Linked DNA regions of Coturnix japonica. The protein of the gene in region 1 interacts with the protein of each later gene in a biochemical or structural test. Links are inferred from orthologs where the notes say so. Each region holds a gene or a part of one and is shown on either strand. Other genes may lie near its edges.

The links.
Region 2: the proteins of PRKAR2A (region 1) and PALM2AKAP2 form a complex in vitro, tested with the Homo sapiens proteins (2 studies listed by BioGRID, with this or other methods). The link is inferred for Coturnix japonica from reciprocal best matches to the Homo sapiens genes PRKAR2A and PALM2AKAP2.
Region 3: the proteins of PRKAR2A (region 1) and RAB32 interact in a test that uses a peptide from one of them, tested with the Homo sapiens proteins (2 studies listed by BioGRID, with this or other methods). The link is inferred for Coturnix japonica from reciprocal best matches to the Homo sapiens genes PRKAR2A and RAB32.
Region 4: the proteins of PRKAR2A (region 1) and AKAP11 form a complex in vitro, tested with the Homo sapiens proteins (2 studies listed by BioGRID, with this or other methods). The link is inferred for Coturnix japonica from reciprocal best matches to the Homo sapiens genes PRKAR2A and AKAP11.

Annotation. Positions count from the first base shown.
Region 1 is NC_029527.1:9,289,147-9,294,107, reverse strand, and holds part of PRKAR2A (cAMP-dependent protein kinase type II-alpha regulatory subunit), read right to left. Parts: intron 4,650-4,961; coding exon 4,548-4,649; intron 2,790-4,547; coding exon 2,715-2,789; intron 820-2,714; coding exon 754-819; intron 66-753; coding exon 1-65. UniProt on the Homo sapiens protein: Regulatory subunit of the cAMP-dependent protein kinases involved in cAMP signaling in cells. Type II regulatory chains mediate membrane association by binding to anchoring proteins, including the MAP2 kinase.
Region 2 is NC_029547.1:58,459,186-58,464,146, forward strand, and holds part of PALM2AKAP2 (A-kinase anchor protein 2), read left to right. Parts: intron 1-3,350; coding exon 3,351-4,961. UniProt on the Homo sapiens protein: Binds to regulatory subunit (RII) of protein kinase A. May be involved in establishing polarity in signaling systems or in integrating PKA-RII isoforms with downstream effectors to capture, amplify and focus diffuse, trans-cellular signals carried by cAMP.
Region 3 is NC_029518.1:42,175,405-42,180,365, reverse strand, and holds the end of RAB32 (ras-related protein Rab-32), read right to left. Parts: intron 3,616-4,961; coding exon 3,338-3,615; intron 1,660-3,337; coding exon 1,510-1,659; 3' UTR 34-1,509; downstream 1-33. UniProt on the Homo sapiens protein: The small GTPases Rab are key regulators of intracellular membrane trafficking, from the formation of transport vesicles to their fusion with membranes.
Region 4 is NC_029516.1:148,921,013-148,925,973, reverse strand, and holds part of AKAP11 (A-kinase anchor protein 11), read right to left. Parts: intron 2,091-4,961; coding exon 1,974-2,090; intron 1-1,973. UniProt on the Homo sapiens protein: Binds to type II regulatory subunits of protein kinase A and anchors/targets them.

The DNA.
Region 1 (4,961 bases):
AAATACTGTCCTCTGTGACACCGGGCAATCTCTACTTCTTGGTTAGCTTCCTTACTCATCATAGTCTGCAAAACAGTACATTTTAATTACTCGCAAATCAGTTCTGTACAAGGTTCAAGTTAATCCCAGATAGACTGCATACGTGCAACTGACCGTTGGTTTACAGCTTGCAAACTAGCAGTTCCTAAATCATTCTCTATAAAGGCATAATGCCTTGACAGCATGTTCAACTGTAAGTTTGGTTAAGTGCATGCTGGCCCACAAATTTTGAGATTGGCAGATATTCATTGTTACAAACTTGGGAACTGCTATTACACAAGACTAACACAGCCACAAAGTTTTGTCATACACAAGGCTTCACTCCCCAAAGAACTGCTTCGACTGTATAGGAATCTATTCAAATGTTAATGGCTACTGACATAACACACCCCAGCTTTTTGTTAGTTGTAGTTTGCTACAACCCCACAAGAAAGTTCCATTTTGACCCCTAAGGCCAGGGAGAGTACAGGTCAGTTTGCAGAGGAGTAGATAGAAGTAAACAGACCTTCCAGCTTTGGCAACTGACTCCTGACCACTTCAGAACAGGTATGGCCATTTAAAACATACATCACATTTGTGACAACAACCAAGTAATTAAAATAACGTCTTAAAGTCAGCCCAGTCAGGCTTTTGCACATTGCAATTAGCCATTCAATGATTTAGCCGATCAAATCAGTGATTAATTTAAAATCTAATCACCCAATTCAAACTCACCTTGCTTTTAATCATGATTTTTACTTCACCAGATTCTACAATATAAAAGCAATCTGCTTTATCGCCCTGTGAAGAAAAGGCAAAAGATACGTTTTTTTCTTAGTTGACTATAAAAATATGTATGAATGGTATTATTCATTGTGAACCGGGCACTGTGCAAGTCATCAGTGTGAGAAATTACACAACAGCTCTAACACTACTTAAGAAAAATAAATCACATCAGGAAACTGGAAGAAAACAGAAATAGGAGCCATTTAGAATGAAGTTCAAGAAAGGTAATGGAATGTGTTGCTGTAGTAAAAACTTATTTTAGTTCCATTCATCTGTTTCTAAGAAAAAGTCCCACAGAGTTACAGGAGAAATGAGGCTCTTATCTGTGGTTCTTCAGAACAGTGGTAAGTATTCCAGTATGAAGTTTTTCATTTCCTGTTGCCAGCTATCGCAATTTGCTGCACTCAGCACACTTAACAATGTACTGAATACTCAGGACTTTTAAACACTGAAAACAAACTGATTAGGAGACACGGGGACTTCACGTAACACCAGCAGTATGACTTAAAGCACCAGCGGTATGATTTAAAGCCAGTGCTTTCAATCACAATGCCCCAATTGACAGATCAAATTCCAGAAAGATAATTAAAATGTAACATTATCCGTGAGAGAAAAAGGATTCATGCTATTGATGCAATTGCTGTAGTACAAGAGCTATCACCATCATTTCCAAGCATAAAATTTCATCATCTCTAGCAGCGTAAAACAATCATCCAGATCAATCCAGAATATTAATCCTATTTGTAATTTCCCTTACGTGTAATTACATCCTTATCCTTAATTCAGCTGTTGCAGATTTAAAGCAACCCTGTAACCGGATCACTGGCTGTACAGCTTCCCAGTTCTGAGACAGCTTTGATTTTGCTGACAGTCCAGTTTTCTCAGGCTCTTAAGCAACAAGATTTTCAGCTTACACAATTGAGCCTTTTTGGAGAGAAGTGATTTGGCTGTATTTTCTTATCAGCAAAGGATGTTCTCTTGCACTGCGGTAGCTGATATTCAAGCTAATTAAGATTAACTATTCAAAACAGTATCAAGTACCCAGACTCTGTTTATAAAACAGGAAGACCTGTGGTCAAAACGCCTACCATTTCAGGTAAGCCAAGGTCTTCCTTGCATTAACTCCTGTTTAAAATAGAGCACTTTCTCAAAATCAATATACAAAGCTAAGACTGATGCAGAATTCTTGTGTTTCACCTGTAAAAATACTCCAAAAAAGTGAGTTCTGTCACAGGAAAAAAAAGGTTCAGCTTTAATTTGTCCAGCTTTATGTTTCAATCTGGTCTCAATCCATTACAGCAAAGTGTATCAACAACCAAAGCCTGCTGACTGAACTCTGACTATTCCTAACACTAAAATACTCTTTTTAAAAGGCATCTGGAAAATCACCTTTTTTAATTAAAGTGAGAATTCTTCATACAGTTAACTGACTTGAGATCAACTAGTAAAGCAGACCTATAGAGCTTGCTTAGCTCTATGCAAGACATACTCCTGTTGAATTGCTCGACTTTCCTGTTTAGTCAGGCCTATGGATGTGGCTTGGGACTCCCCTTTTAATCTGGTTACAGGTGCCTATAAAAACTGCACCTCAGGGCTTTCATTGAAAATTGTAATGACAGACATTTAATTTCAGCTTCTTCAGGGTCAGTCCTTTTGAAGCCTTGCAAAGACCGTTTATAGAAAACAAATGGTCAAAATAAGGAATTACCCAGAAGCTAAAGCAGTGGAATAAATACGTAGCAAAATACAACTGGCCCTTCCCCAGATATTCAAAAACTGGTTAAACAAATTGAAAGCATTAAAAGAATAATGCTAACTTGATCCAATTAACACGATTCTGTGAGTAGCTTCCACATAGGAACAAAAACAAAGAGGGGAGAATGACAGATGGGAATTTATACTCTAAGTACCTGAGAAATGATACGTTCCCCATCCCGATACACTTTCTCTCCTATAACATCCACAATTTTCATGCGCTCTGATGCCTGCAATGAAGAGGAAAATCAAGCACAATTACCTGCCATAGCAAACCTCACAACTCAGAAGTTAAGAAGTGTTCACTAGACAAAAACACGCTGAATCTGGCTACTGAAAAATGCAGCCCCCACATGACCTCATAATATTGCAGCACATCTTTCAAGACTACCAAAAAGATCAATGGCAAAAAAAGTTTTCTATTGTCCCACACCTAAAGTTTAAAATGACTGATTTGGCTGTTTTAGAACTAAGAAAAAAAAGCACTTCCTGTGAGATTCAGCTGAAATCTGAAGAAAGCGTTTAGAGAAATGCCAAGTCCTTCCCCAGAAACCTCAATGAAAAATATTAGTAATTCATTTTCAAAATACTTTCATTGCTGTGCACTTGAATGTCTTCGGTTGGTTGGTTGGAGTTTTTTGTGTGTTTATTTTGGTTGGTTGTTTTTTGTCTTAAAGCTCACTGCTGGATTAGGAAGAGGATGAGGGGGTATGAGAAAGACACTGGGTCTAAAAATTGTAAGCAAGCATTGCAACAGGATGCCCTGCAGCAAGGTCAAGAGGTACTAAACTGACGTGCAGTGAAATGTGCCTCACAAACAGGAAGGGAGAAAGGACAGTTAAATTTATCTCCAATGTTTCCTGCTGCCCATCTTGCACATCACAAAACAACTCTAATCATTCACAGCAGTGTAAAAATATATTAAGAAAGAAAATCCTAAACAGTTCAAATGAATATCTCCACACATGATTCATTTTTAATCTATTCATTTCACAAATGCACTTCCATCTAGCCCATGTTTAAGAAACTGTTAATTACGATCCACGCATGATTCAACTGCAGTGTGTCATGCAAAAAGCCAGCCAGTGCTAATGAGATTTTTCTCTTTTTTGAATCTTTAATCTTTTATGAGTCATTTTGGGCTTTAAAAAAAACAAAAAGGCACACACTGATGAAACTAGTTTAAGCCAGTCATTGAGGGAGATGTTGTGTAATTCACCCCTTTTACAGCTATCAGCATAGGTCCAAACTAATATATCCTGGAAGCCACTATTTACACTTATGATGCTTTGCAATTTTGTAATCCTTTCCCAAGAGGATTGAGAACTATTCTCAAGTGCTGAAGATTTAAGCTGAAAAAATGTAACGAGGAAACAAAGAAAAATATAAGTTCTGGCAGAGGGCAAAGATATATAACAATGTTCCATGCAGTCTGGCATGTCTCCAAAGCCTTTCTGAAAATACAGGCTAAATCAATGGCTTAGAAGTGGCAATTTACACATCGTTCCTAAAGTCATGCACCACACATAACAACAGTGCTTGCTCTGCCTGGTTATTTTCCTCCTGGGCAGCAGTGCTTCCTTTAGTTTATTCTTAGCTTAGAAGAGTTAAGATCTGCAGTGGGAAGCATCTTTGAAATTTCAAAATCATTCACAGATAATGAAAATCAAGTATTCCAGAGACCATATCATTACTTCAAAAACACACCCACAAACAGAACCAAAGCCCTGAGTCCCAGTTTTCACTTTAATCCCTATATTTTCTCTCTACCTGTTTTGTGTTTTAAAGCCTTCTCAAAAACTGAGATAAAAATCGCCTACTGCGAACAGTGGATATGAAAAACACGTTGGACAACTTCAACAATGCAAATAGGATATTTAGCAGGTCTGAAGAACTTGTAAGCAAAAAATGACACTGATTTCTGATACAGTATAAACCAACTGGGGAGGTAACAAGAATTTGATGCAGATGTTTCTGAGAGACTTTACCTCCAAGGACTTGAGAAGGGGTACAGACTCAATAAATAACTCATATGTCTTCCTCTTCTTTGCATTGTTTTTCAATATAATTCTTCTGAATGTCACTCGATCCTGCAAGAAACAGCACAAACTGATTATTCCTCCTAACTAAAATGCCTACTGATTAAACAATCTTTATCTAATATTAAAGATTATCTACCTCATATTTGCAAGAGAATTTAGATACAAGAAGTCAGTTATTAAAATGATAGCACATCCATCACAAAAGTGATCTTAACAGGCCTCATGATAATATTTCCTGGAAATACCAAGCTGAAAAACAGGGAGCTCTAAGACAAACCTGGCCCTTCTCAGAAAGCCATTTAAGAATTCCAGTTTTACTCCATCTTGAATTGTTTTCCAGAGCTGAGTTTGTGGGTCTTT
Region 2 (4,961 bases), on another chromosome or scaffold:
GTGAAACTTGGATGGAATGATCAGTAGAAGCCTGCGATAAGGAGACTGTATTTTAGATCTCTTAGTGATTTTAAATTTAAATCTTTAATCTTGCCTTGTTTTGTTTTTCAGTTTTTGGGTTGTTTTTTTGCCATGACGTTGCTTAGGAAGAATGTGGATGTGGCCACGAAGGACTGCCTCCCACTTGGTGTCACATGCATTTTCTGTTGGATCAAACAAAGGAAGGCACTGGCAGTACATTTGCTGGGTCTTGCTGCTAGAACACCCACCTTTTTTTTTTTCTTCTAAAAGATCTGAATGCTCAAACACTTAGACTTTTGTAGATGAAGAATTCAGCCAAGCAGGAAGTATGCTAATAATTCTCCAGGCTGCTAATAACTTCAGTTTACTAAAGTGCAGCAGTGTTGTACAAATGGCAATAATTACACTTGCATCTTGACTTAACAGAGAGAAATTAATACATATTCAGAGAGGGTTTAAATGTAACAGTAATTTCTGGAAAATGCAGTATACGGGAATTGCTGTTAAGGCAGAGTTGCTGGTTGCAGCAAGGACTGAATGCTGGCCATCCCTCATTTACAGACTTTTATTAATAGTTTTCAGACAGCTGCCCTCAGTGGGCAGTGTGTTAAGGTGCTGGTGTGTGCAGCAGCAGCCCCTGGCAAGCTCTGCCCTTCCTGCCAAGCAGCCCAGATGAGGCTGTAGTTTCCCAGTCTTTTCCCATCACCACGTCTTCATCCTAATGTGTGCCATTCTTCCAGAACATTCCCAGCTGGTTTTCCTGACAGTTTGATCTGCGTCCATTCATATGACCTTACTAGCTTCTTCTTCATATAATTCATTCATGGGTTGACTTCTGCTTCTTACAGGGGTGTCTGGAGCATTCCCTCCTTGTTTTCCTGAAAGTGTCCCAAGATTATATAAGAATGTGCTGAGGGGAAAACAAGGAGTTGTAATAAATATTTTTTCTCTCCTCCATTCCCTGGTTTACTCCCCTGCAGAGAACCCTTCCCTACTCACAGTTATTAGTCCTTGGCAAAGAAAGGCCTCTTCCCATGAGGAGCAATGTTTCCTCATAAGATTTACTGCATAATTGTCTTGCTTACTAGATAATTACATGTGCCACTCTAATTGCACAGACACACGCACTCTCAGAATTACATGCTGCCATAAATGCGTGTCCTGATTAGGCAGTTGCGTCTATATGCCTTAATTGTGAACTGAAGATTGCAGCTATGATGAGGGGATGAGCTATTACTCATTAAGAAATCAACTGATGAAGTAGTTCATCTTTGGTTTGGTTCCCTCAAGGCAACTTGAATATCGAAACATGACCTGATCTGAAGGGTTCTATATATGTTGGCTCAGCAAGGGCAGTAGGCATGTGTTAGCTATGAAGTCTTGGGGGCAACAGCAGGTCTGTTGCTAGTTCCAGATGTTAGCAGAAGCTTGACAGCATGCTCATCTCAGCTGTGAAGGGCCAGCAGCCCCACACAGAGGCTTAAGGCCTCTCCTCTCAATCTGCTTCAGGTAGCAATATCCTCTTTTTGGTGTCAGCTAATCTGACAGGAGACTTTAACCCAAAACTCAGAAAGAAACTGCAGTTCTAGGCCTGTTGTGAGTACCTGTTGTATATGAAACTTGGAGCTCTGCAGACAAATCAGAGTAATTTTTGCTTTTCCAGGTTTAAACAAAGTTTTGTTCTTACTGATTATTCTGAACTTGTTTGTAGAATACCAGCTTGCTTGAATATATCTTTACTCAGGCTGAAAACAAAGCTGACCACAGTTAGACATGTAAATTGTGAAAAATGTAGTAGGCTTAAAGAAGAGCACTGATAGAAAATAAAGCTTGAGAATATGTAGAGTATGCCTGTAGGTTCAACAGAAGGTACAATGAAAGTAAAACCAACTACATAAGAAAGATGTGTAGACAAAAGAGAATTGTTTGTTTCCCAGTTCTTAAGGTGTTTTGTGGCATCTAAGAATGATTGAGAATCTCTAATGGATGAAGGTAGCATTACCTAGCATTACCTTCAGCTCTGCACAATGGCATGATTAGACAGGAAACTCTTTTAAAATGCTTTTAGAAGGAGAGCTCTTCTGCCTGGATCAAATTCTTCAATGTGTGTCAAATGCATTTTTCTGCCCATGTAAACCCAGAGGCAATGTGATTGTTCAGGTGGCTGGTAAGATCCTTGTGCTCTTGGCTGGTCATTTTCTGCTGCATTGTGTACTAACCAAGTGCATGATGAATGCTGGCAAGGAAGGCTGCGGCCCGCATACAAGAGTGACCTTTCTGGGGAGATACTGTATTTGGAGGATTTGGTTAGTGCTGTTTGCTTCCCAAATCCATGCTTCACCAGTAGTGCTGCATAAGAGTTTGTGTTAAAAAGGAGCCGGAGACCTCAGAATGCAAGTTTCTGTGTTAAAGAGTTTGATGGCACGAATAGGCATGCCGTGTTTGGTTATTTTGAGATTGTGTTGTGTTCTGAGAAAATTACCAAGTTATTGTGGAAGAATGGTACTGGCAATGTCTTCATCATGAGGAAATATGAGTCCAGTGTGTCTGTGTTTTGGATGAAAGAGTGAGAGGGAGAAGACCATGATTCTGGTCCCTGTTGTGCCTCCTGTGATGATCTCATGAATGCTGCTGTGGGAGTCATGAATGCTTCTGTCCTCCCAAGTCCAGTTGCACGTGGGTTTCTGTGTGGGCCAGAGAAAGACCCCATGTTTTTTCCAGCACTGTGTTATTCTACCCTGTGTTTGATGGCTGAGATTGACCCACTGAGAAATGAGCATCCCCTGGTAATGTCTCACCCTTTCCCTAATGTGGGATGAGTTGCCTGATCTTTCTGCATGTTAGCGTCTGTTTCTGCAAGATAGAGGCAGTAAAGCTTATCAGCTGTGGAAGGATTCTGAGGTTTTCTTTAGGTTAGGTGTGGAAGACATTTGTAAAATACCATATTGATAGGTGCGGCGTGCTGCTCGTGCAAGCCTTTCAGGAACCTAAACTGTTAAGTCATTTGTAACTTGAAAATCCAAACCTCGTTTTTAGTGGCAGACCAGGACACAGGCCTGGAATAATGACAAAGTGAGGTTGATAACCAGTTGGGGGATATTTCAATGAAAGTTTGTTGTTGTTTTAGTGCCCTGTCCACTTCAGACTGAGTTAACCTTCTGTTTTTTGTAAGTAATAATTATTTACCTCACCTTCTAATTTTGTGAAGAACACTTTTAATCTCGAGTTTAGAAAGTTCTATGATTTGCTTTCCAGATGGTGTTTAGTGTGCAGAAAATACAATGCTTCTCTTCAGGACTTCATCAAAGTTTTGTTCTGTTTTATTTTAGAAATCTTCCAGAATTCCTGAGGATGACATCAGGTTAAAAAAAAATAGAGACCAAAACTGTGCCAATTTCTTGGAGCCGGCTACTGCGCTTTCTGCAAAGGAAGAAAAAATGGAAATCGAAGTTCCTGTTTCTGAACATAAAAGCATCACCACAGTGGCTTCACCACATCCCATAGACAATCCAACTCACTTCTTTTCTTCTGCTGCCAGCCACAATGGACTTAAGGACAGGCATGAATCCCTGGACAGTGAAGTTGCTAAGGAGATCAGATATCTCGATGAAGTGCTGGAGGCAAACTGCTGTGATTCATCTGCTGATAATACCTTTAATGGGACATCCTCTCCTCAGTTAAGTGCAGTCACCATCATGGATGGCTCAGGGGTGTCGGTTAACGTCTCTAATGATTCAGTACCCAGTGCAAGGGAAGAAAATGTAAATGACAGGCAGGTGCCCTTGGTTGTTAAACCGCATGAAGCTAGTACAGCAGGTGAAAGCCTGAACTCCAATGGCCATTCCTTGAGAGGACTGAAGGAAGACACTGGGGAAAGTCTGAAGGTGCCAGGAAGTCCCACTTCTTCAAACAGTTCCAGAAGATCTTCTAAGGATGGAGAAACAACTCTTACAACACTTAAGAAAGAGGCTAAGTTTGAACTGCGAGCTTTCCATGAGGACAAAAAGCCCTCTAAGCTCTTTGAAGAAGACGATGAGAAAGAAAAGTACAGGGTCCGCAAAGTGAGACCATCAGAGGAAATGATAGAACTTGAAAAGGAAAGAAGGGAGCTCATTAAAAGCCAGGCTGTCAAGAAAAACCCTAACATTGCCGCCAAATGGTGGAACCCTCCCCAGGAGAAGACCCTGGAGGAACAACTGGATGAAGAGCATCTGGAATCTCACAAGAAGTACAAGGAGCGCAAGGAGAGACTGCAGCAGCAAAATGCAACACCAACATCTCCCAAACAGGTCAGCTGCTCCTTTGTACCACCAGAGACAGTGAATATCAAGAAAGAAGATATTGTCACAGAGCAAATTGATTTCTCAGCTGCCAGGAAGCAGTTTCAACTGATGGAGCATTCAGGTCCATCTCAAGGTCAGGTCCCACCAAGGCGGTCAGGAACACCCAAAATGTTCTCTGTTAAACCATTCTATAAAAGCCTCAATCCTTCAAATGCAGACAGGCCTCTCTCCACCATTACAAGACCTGTTTCAATGTATGGACAAACAGGTCAACATGAGGGTAATGACATCACTGTTGTGAAAGCACAGAAAGTCTCCTGTTCTTCAGAGGATGATACAAATGCTCAGAACAACAGTGCTGACCCAGTAAGAGAGTTACCATGTAGTGATAGCTCCAGAGCTGGACAGGCCTCAAAGCTGTGGTCAGAGGATGGAGAATTCATGAGTGCAAGAGCTGTCTTCACAGTGGTGAAGGATGATGTACAGGGTGTGCTAGACCAGCTCCCAAAGTCAGCCAGCGCCTCCTCCCCTCCTGAGGAGCTTGACTCTGGTTTGGATGACTTGTCTGTAAGGTCTCAGGATACCACTGTCTTGGAGACCCTTTCCAATGACTTCAGCATGGATAACATCAGTGACAGTGGCGCCTCTAATGAAACT
Region 3 (4,961 bases), on another chromosome or scaffold:
TTTAAATTTTAACTATTGAAATAAATATTTTCATTGATACTTGAAACCAACTTTATTTAGGGTGGCACACATAATGCAAAGATTCATTCAAAAAGCACACACCAACAAGATAAGATGCCCAAATATATTTATTCGTTTCTTAAAAAATATGTTACTCCTTAGAAAAGACATCAGCCTAGATAATTTCAATACAGATTAAAGTATATTCAATCTGGCACATACTTCATGCTGATATTTACATAAACATCAGTACCACCAGACAAGCAAGTTAAGAACTCTGAAGCCAATAGCAGTGAGGTACCAAGACAGAAGAAACCCTTTAAAATTACAAGGAGCTCTGAAGCATTTCAGCCTAGTAGAGCCAAAATTACAAGAAAATAGCCAAGAACTGAAGTTCTCTATTCCTTTTAATCTTCATTTGCTGCCAGAAAAACCTGGGTTATAACAAGGAAGCAAGCATCTCCATGAACAGTTACAAGCTGGTAAGCAAGCCAGTTCACAAACTGAGTAGTCAGAAGAGTGCAGCACTGTTCTAAAATTAAAAAAGGAGGCGGGGGATTTTTGACAAGCTACAAAGATCCAGTTGAATTATTTCTTCCAAAGCATCTATTCTTATTCAAAGTATTCAGAACCATCTCCAGGAGAAAAAAAAAAAAAAAAAAGGAAAAAGTAGGAAGTTCATTGTCACAGGACAGCAAGATATTTATTTTACCCAGCCTTGCTAAAGTTTTTGGTGTTAGTGCATGAAAAGACTTCTGGATATTTCTAGATGTGCATACAAGTGAAATTATTATAAGAATGGCAGAAATGCAACTGTATTGATTAATGTGTTTCACAGGTAAAGTATTAGCTGAAAGTAATATTCTTTAAATAGCAGAAGATGTATTTTTGTTAGTACCCATGTAACAGTGTCTTTCCATTAAATACAATCGTTTACCTTTACCTATCTTGTTCTTACACAGAGGTGAAAGCAGTCTACTCCACCTGATCCTCGTGAACACACCAATGATGATATTGGCCCCTTCAAGATTAACATAACATCTTGATCCAAGTGAGCTAGCAAGGAGACAGATAGGTACAAGTGTATATAGGTGAGAAGTCAAGCTAAAGTAGGGCATTATTGGTGACGAAAAGAATATTCAGTAGAGGTGCAAGTGTCTGTTCAGCTAAAGACATGAGTGAGTCCTATTTGGAATGTAGCATATCCTAGAAGGCAAAGTAGACACTGAATGTTGTCTTTGTTCTTTTTTAGGAGTGTAAACACTACCTTATGTTCTCAAGTAAGCAACTAACCAGATTTAGATGAAGCCACTCAAGCAAGAGGAGTGAGAACTCACAAGATACTCCTGTTTAGCATGAAACTGAGTATGTAAACACCCACAAGAATCACCTGTTCAGATAATACCAGACACCCCATATGGATTGTCACAATGCAGCACCATAGCAGCAGTTTGATTTAAGGAACAGTCTTGCTGCTCATTCCATCACATTTGTCGAACAGTGGTAGCATTAGCAGCACTGTGATTTACTCTCTGCTTTCAATGGGTCTAGGTCCAGTTTTGGTTTCCCCACATCATTCTCTTCATTAGGAAAGGTTTTGTAGTTGGCAAGGATGTTTTCCACCAAGAATCGAGCAGCTTCATCTATGTTGATGTTGTCCTAAGAATAGGAATGCAAATAAGTTAACAAGTTGTTGGTTGGATTTTTGCTTTTAAAAAGTCACACTTCCTTGTTAGAAGCTGGCCAAATACACACTACTCTGCAGCCACTGGCAGAACACAGGCAGCTTAGATACAACACATCATTGCTCAAAAATTTGCTGTTTGTAAAAGGAAAAAAAATAAATCATCAGAAAAGTTTAGTGAAGCTATTCACCCACCATACACAAAGGATAGCTAGACTCCAAAGTACTGTGTAGTCTGGACATAAAACTATGTTTGAACCACTCTTAAGTGCCAAGCTGCACTTATGTGTTAAGAAAGATAAGAGGCAATTAACACTGGTTTTAGTAGTGCATGGCCTTTTGGAGCCTATTCCTCTTTTTGCTGCAATATCAATAAACTCATTTATCAACAGAGGTCTTTTGTATCAGCCTCAAAAAACCAGAAAAGTCAAGGTGCTTCATTCAGCCATTTTCTTAAGTAAGTACCTTAACTTACATTCCAAAGAATCATAGAAATATAGATTCACAAGGTAGGAAAGGATCTACAAGATCATCTAGTCCAACTGTCCTCCTATTAACATTACTACCACAAGCCACTAAACCATACCTCATAGCTCCTCATCCAGATGCCTCCTGAACACCGCCAGGGACAGTGAAAGTGTGTATGCAGAATACCTAGAACTGTATTTCAGTCTAGTACCTTAGTCACTGTGCATCCCTACTCCTTATTTTATGGTGACCAGGAAGAGATTTATTTCTTGCCATTCCTCTTACAGATCTTTGTGGAAAAAAAAAAAAAAAGCATCAGGTGCTAGAAATAGCTCTTGCATAAGTATGCTTTATGCCAGTTTGTCAGCAGCAACTGAAGGAAGTAGTGAACTCAAAGGAAGAGAAGGATCTTGAAGCTTAGCTTAATATAAAGGAATTATTGGCCAGACCAGTAACTGGCCCTGTCAGACATATTGATGCTTGAGATTGATGATTTTTCAACATGAAGGCATTTAGGTTAAGAAACTGTTGATTTCACTGCCAACTAAGCTACTGTAAGCATATATGCACACTGTTTGAGTTTGATTAAAACTGTGCAACATTTGAATCTACTCAAACATAAACTTTAATTGGAATAAAGCAGCTGCCCTTAAAATCAGTTTCTCCACAACTGGGCAATTAGATTTTCCCTAGTTCAGTCTCATCACTACTTGATATAGGAGAAAGTGGTTTAGTAGCATCATCTAAGTATATAGTAGCAAGCAAGCAGATAATTTTATCTGGAGTCTCATCACTTCTTGTATGCACCAGATAAGAAAAAGCTGCAATGGGAATTCTTTCACTTAAAGATGCAGTAGTTTTTCCTTTTATCAGTTCAATCAGTATTTATTAGCACTGACATCTAAAGAACAGCACTGATCTTGATGCACACAAGATCAAAAAAAAAAAACACATTGAATTCAGTTAATGTTTCCACTTCAGTGTTGTCTGAATGTGAGATGCAGTTCCAACTAAATATGCTGTAAGCCTTCCTTAGCAATGAACTATCCTGCACACCACTTCTATTTCTCACTGAACACTGGAATCCAAACTGTCACTTCCTGCATCTGATAAATTTCTTTCCCCATATGACTATATCTGCTGTTGTGAATAGAAAGCACACTTAAACACCTACTTAATTCTTACCTTGGCAGATGTTTCAAACCATCCAATAAAGCCACCTTCTCTGCAGAACTGGTCCATTTGAGAAAGATTCTGGCTGCCATCTTTCTTTTGGTCACACTTGTTTGCAAGAAGAACAGCAGGGATGGGGCTGCCATTGGGAAGAAGTACTTTACTGTCCAAATCATGTTTCCACTTTGAAACAGCCTCAAACGTGGAACCTCTTGTGACATCAAAGACCACAAAAGCACCAACTGCTTCTTTGTAGTACACTCTTGTCATATTTCCAAAACGCTCCTGGCCTGAAAAGGAAAGATGTGACAATTTTTATGTACCTGTGTTCACCAGAGTTTACGCTGAAGACTATCAGGTTAGTACATAAAAGTTCAGCCTCTAGGTCTTTTAACAGTTTATACATTGTCTCTTCCATCCTACGTAAGGTCATTACAACAGCTGTTATATACTCCCATATGTGACAAGCTGCAATCACATTCTACTGACAAATAAGCTTTAAAACATAGTTTTTAGTAGTGCCCTATGAGAAGTAATGCCTAAAACATTACCAGGACAACTAGACATAAGTTACTTGTCTCACAAAAGAAGCTTTTGTGTGATTTAGAATGTCAGCCTGCCACTTCAAGTACGTATTTGGGAACACAAGATTTTTGGGAACACAAGATTTTCCTGGAGGGCAGATAAGGCTTTCTGCAAGCACCAACACAAACAACTTTCAATGAATGCTCTGAAGGACTCATCTTTTGAAGATATTTTCCCTTAGGGACAGCTTGAAAGGAACTAGTTTAATAGTTTTTCATAAGCTTTTTTTTTTTTTTTTAATTATTTTAAAGTCAGACCTCTCCATAATAGTTTCTAACTACAGGAGTTCCATTGATGCCCCAGGATTTGGTACAAGGTGAACAGAATAGGTGAAGTACAATTGTTCATAATAAAAACTCAGAAAAAAATTAATCATCAGAAGAATAAAGGCTTTTTTTTTTTTTTTTTTTAAGTAGAATGTTGTTCTTGTTGTCAGTATATTCAAGAAGTAGAATAAGTGCCAGGTTCACCATTGGGAAGGTCAGACTGTCACACTATACTTAAGTGAGCCCAACAGTGGCAAGTATTAGGTATGCACATGTCACTTTAAATTTGGCCTACTAAAATGGTTTTCCACTCTGTTCAGAAGTAGCACCACTGGCAGAAATGTTTCCAGCACTATATTTTAGTTTCACACTACATTTTCACTTCAGCTGTTTGCATGTATTTTATATGTTCTAGAATACTAAGGATTTTAACTTGGAACATCATTGCCATTTCCCATCCCATCCCCCCCCCCCCCCCCAAGCATTCAAGTTTACAAGTGTCCTTTTTGCAAGGACAGTCACCAGAAGAACAAGGCATTATCTGCTCAGAAATTAATCAGAAGACACCATATGAAGGAACTCGACCATGTAAGCTATTTTAAGGTCAGTATACTTCAGATTAGCTCATCCTCTACAGACAGTTTCAGCGAAGACTAAGCATCTAGTAGAACTGCCCAGAATCACTAGTAGCTTCCAGAGAACCATAAAGTTCCAGAAGAGGACTTCCTCCCCCCCCCTTTCCCTCCCAGTACAACCTCAAATTACAATGGTGCAGGAAACAACAT
Region 4 (4,961 bases), on another chromosome or scaffold:
TGACACAGTACCCCACAACATCCCTCTCTGCAAATTGGAAAGATATGGATTTGATGTGTGGATTGTCCAATGGACAAAGAAGTGGATGCAGGATCAAGTCCAGAGAGTGGTGGTCAACGGCTCAATGCCTGGATTGAGATCAGAGCTGAGTAGTGTCCCACAAGAGTCAGTGCTTCGACTGTCACTCTTTAATCTTGATCAGTGACAGTGACAGTGGGGTTGAGTGCACCCTCAGCAAAGTTTGCTGATGACACCAGCCTGTGGGGTGCAGTCAATGAACTGGCTGCCCAGAAATGTGGTTGATACCCCATCCCTGGAGACACTCGAGGTCAAGGCTGGATGAGGTCTGAGCTTTTGATCTAGCTGTAAGTTTCCCTGTTCACTGCAGGGGAGCTGGCCAAGATGACCTTTAAAGGTCCCTTCCAACTCCACAGATCCTACAATTCTATGTTTGGAGTTAAAGTTGATATGTCTGGGATTCAATTATTTCAGAGCACTATGCAACTGAGTGAGTGTTTTTTAAGTATTCGGGTTACAGTTCACAGTAAGGCTGTGCTAGTGAGATGCTTCTCATGCCTAAAACCAGCAAAGAACACCTCTGTGTTTATATTCACTTACTAACTGGATCAGCAGCTCACCCGTGCATACAGAGAAACTAGGAAGGAGCTATAAAAACAAATGGCTGAAAAACAATTGTTTTGTACTGTACCTGAGTTTTGAATAAGCACATTTTTTTCTTCCACGCATGCAAACAAAAAACCTTTCAAACTGAAATCTTGCTAAAATATTAAAAATTCTGACTTCTTTCAGGTGGTACCACACAACTACTTTGGCTTCCACAAAATGTTTTCTTGTTTGCATCCATGATCTTTATTTCAATAACAACAAAATCCTAAATTAAACAAAATTTTTGCAGTAGCATTCTAAATGGCTCTTAGCAAATCACAGTTCTCCAGCATCATGTTCACTGTTCTATTAAGTGATCCTTTTTCAGTGACATATCCTTAAGCTCCTACATCTTTTATGCATACAGTATCTGGAGATACCTTTCAATTCCAACACCTCATCTGCACAACACCTACTGTATGAAGAGAAGAGGCCTAACAGTTTAAAGACTTGGAGGAAAAACATTTCTTTGAAGAATGTTTTGGGAGGCTTTAGGATATGTTGATGTTAGGATGTGTTTTTAGTGGGTGTATGCTCTTCCTACAGGTCCTTTCCTCTTCCTCAAATTAATGATTACCAACCTTTACCTCTCCCAAATAATATTTTGCCATCAAAGAAACTGATGAGGCTACTCATTTCAGTCTCAATTACAACATCTAGATTTCACAGTCTCCAGTTTTCACAAAAATAAAATACCTTTAAGACTTGAAACTAGTGCAGACATTTAAATTGTTGGTGGTTAGGCTGATCAAACAGATCTAGTCATCTTCACAGTTCAAGATTGCCCAAGATACCCCTGAATTCTTTCTGGGTCTACCTTTCTTTTTCCCTCAGCAGATTTTGTTCAGCTTTTGGCCCATATGTATTCATGTCATAGAAGCCCTGATCTGCAATGCTGGAGCTTTACCTTTTAGTGCTGAGCACAAGGAAATACAAGCAGTCTATTAGCTTTCATCTTCAGACTTAAGACCAAAATGTTCTGCTAGTCAAGGTACTATCCATACAACTTGAACAGAGGAGTGCACACAAATGCTGAGCATCCAATTACGCAATTCCTACAAAATCATTTATCTACACATCTTGTTATTTAGTTTCACAATTAAACTAAGCAGAGAAACCTCATCTTGAACTGTTATGGTTTTTTTTCAGGACTTCAAAGGCTAAATGCAAGAATGGCAACACAGGGCAATGAATTAACTGTCAGTACGTTGCAACAGTGTTCACATTTACTATCCTGCCTGCTACAAGCTAAATCATCTTGCATCATAGCCAAAAAACATATACAAAAAAGTCAGGTTATGCCAAACCTCAATAAAATTATCTTGTTCTTCCTGACTTAAACATTCTTCTGCTGATACACTGCATAACTCTTTCCTGCTGTGCAGCAGTGACTTCATAGAGTGCAGTACGCCTTCACCAAAGCTCTGAAAAACAATGGGAAAAGACAAAAAGTTATTTTCAGTTTTGAATAAAGAGCCTATTCTAAGCCCCCTCCTTGATTTCCTTATTCTAAGTACAGTTTCAAACAAATCTGCATATCAATCACCAAGTTTAAAGACTAAATTCTGTGTTCTGAAGTAAACACATAAGCTATTTCCTTCAAGAAATAATTTTTTTTTCCAAAGCAAGCTGACCATGCTGTACTTAAGAAAAAAAAGACCGTAGAATCACAGAATGGCCTGGATTGAAAAGAACCACAATGATCATTTGGTTTGAAAAGAACCACAATGATCATTTGGTTTCAACCCTCCTGCTATGTTCAGGGTCACCAACCACCAGACCAGGTTGCCCAGAGCCACATCCAGCCTGGCCTTGAATGCCTCTTCCAGGGATGGGGCATCCACAGCCTCCTTGGGCAACCTGTTCCAGTGTGTCACCACCTCTGAGTGAAAAACTTCCTCCTAAAAGATCCTAAGATCTAAGAAAGTTCAGATTTGGGAAAAAAAGAAAGATGAATCCAAGAAGAAATTTAAAGGCCCACCCACTCTATGCATCAGAGCCTGCATATGGAACTTTTCCATCAGGTTTTCCTTAAAAAGCAAGAAAAGCTAATTTAGCCATGAAATGTTATTGAGGTGGCTTCAACAGTCATAGGGAAAGAAAACAAATCAAGGTGAAAAAATAAATAAAAAAATAATCAAACAAACAACCCTCTACATATCTTCTTTATCCATTCTATAAAAAAAATAATAAAATAAAAATTAAAAAATTTAATTCCTTGTAATTATTTCTTGTAACATCTTCTCCTTTTGGTTTTTAAAATTGCTGTCCTCTACCGAGTGAAAAGGTTAAGAAGTATAAATGAAATTATGATTTGGTTACGCATTGTTAACCCAGTTATTTATTCTCCATCTGACTACCCTGTAAAAAGTTAGGTGAGAAATGTATCAAACTTAAGCTATTTCAAATCTGCACAGCTTCTTAAACAACAGCGGAAGCACCAGAAAACCAAATCTAGTGAGGGAAAGCTTTGCATTTCTCACAGTCCCACAGCAAAAGTAATCCCTTTATGGTAAAAGCTGATCTTGCTTATCATAATTAAGGCTCTGGAAAGAGCTGTTTTTCTTAAAAACAATGGCAGTAAGTACTAACATATTGGAAGCCTAACTGGTACTATCAGCGTTATCATGCTTGTGCTCGTAGCAATATAAAATTAGGAAAGCATTTTTAAAATAATAAGACAAAAAACAAAACTTAAGACCTCTGGAATTACCAAAACAAATCTCAGAATGTTTGCAAGCAAGGTTGGGATTACTAGATTTACAGCAAAGGCCAAGTAACACTGAAGCAGACAAAACAGCCATGTTTACAGACAAGAATGAACCAGTAACCGAAATAATCTGATGTACATTTAGGGCAGCCTGGAGGTCATTCAAATAATCCCTACCTTTGTCTATAACTTTCTCCCCACGTATTAAAATGCAGTTACTGTGTTACATATGTATCTTTATACTTCCCAAGGTATGCAAACAATGTTTCTGATCCTCCAGATCATCCAGACTTACCAGGTGGCTGCAATGCTTGATTAAAAGGAGAGCAGCATATACAGGAAGCTCAAGGTGAGAGCAGTTTAAAATGCAAACATATGAAGTGCAAGGTTACAGCCTTAAAAACTAATAATGAAATAGAACTGTGAAGTCGCATCCGGGAAACAAGAGATGTGACTTTGCTTCTTCATCATGATAGTGAAGCAAACAATCAGCACGATACAGCACTGAAAATAGCAAACGTGGCCCCATCCTTTAGCAGGATAACTGACATAACTGGAGTCGCTGAGTGCATCCTCTGTAATTGCACATACCATATCATCCACATGTGAAAAGAAGATTAACTTGCAACAAGCACAGAAAGGAGGACTATGAAGGATAATCACTGAACGCAGAGGCTTTCATACAAAAGCAGACTAAACCTTTGGCTTACCATTTTGTTTTCATTTCCCCACATAATGTGAGAGAAAACTTCCTATCCAATAGGCAATGAAAGCAATTCAACCACACTGAATTAAACTGAAAACCAAAAGGCAGCCAGTTTTCAAGATCAGCACACAGAATCACAGAATGACCCGAGTTGGAAGGGACCTCAAGGATCATGTAGTTCCAACCCCCCTGCCTGGCAGGGCCACCAAACATACACATTTACTAGATCAGGTTGCCCAGGGCCCCGTCCAACCTGGTCTTGAACACCTCCAAGGACGGGGCATCCACAACCTCCCTGGGCAGCCTGTTCCAGGGCCTAACCACTCTCCTAGTGAAGAACTTCCCCCTAACATCCAACCTAAATCTTCCCTCTTTCAACTTAAAACCATTTCCCCATGTCCTGGTATCGTCAGCCCTTTCGAAGAGTTTACTCCCCTCCTGGGTGTAGGTTCCCTTCAGGTATTGAAAGGCTGCAATGAGGTCACCCCGCAACCTTCTCTTCTCCAGGCTGAACAAGCCCAACTCCCTCAGCCTGTCCTCATAGGGGAGGTGCTCCAGCCTCCTGATCATCTTCATGTCCCTCCTCTGGACACTTTCCAAAATCTCCATGTCTTTCTTGTTCTGAGGGCTCCACACCTGGACACAGTACAACAGATGGGGCCTCACAAGAGCCGAGTAGAGAGGGACAATCACCTCCCTATCCCTGCTGACCACCCCTCTCCTGACAGAGCCCAGGATCCCTTTTGCTTTTTTCTGCAAGACACCTAAGAGCTTGTGCTGCTAGAATCACACAGTTCAGAATGTTTAACGACAATTAACAGAGCAGTTCACAAAACCACTGCTTTTAGGCAACCATTCCAATCAATAAAGAATCACTGT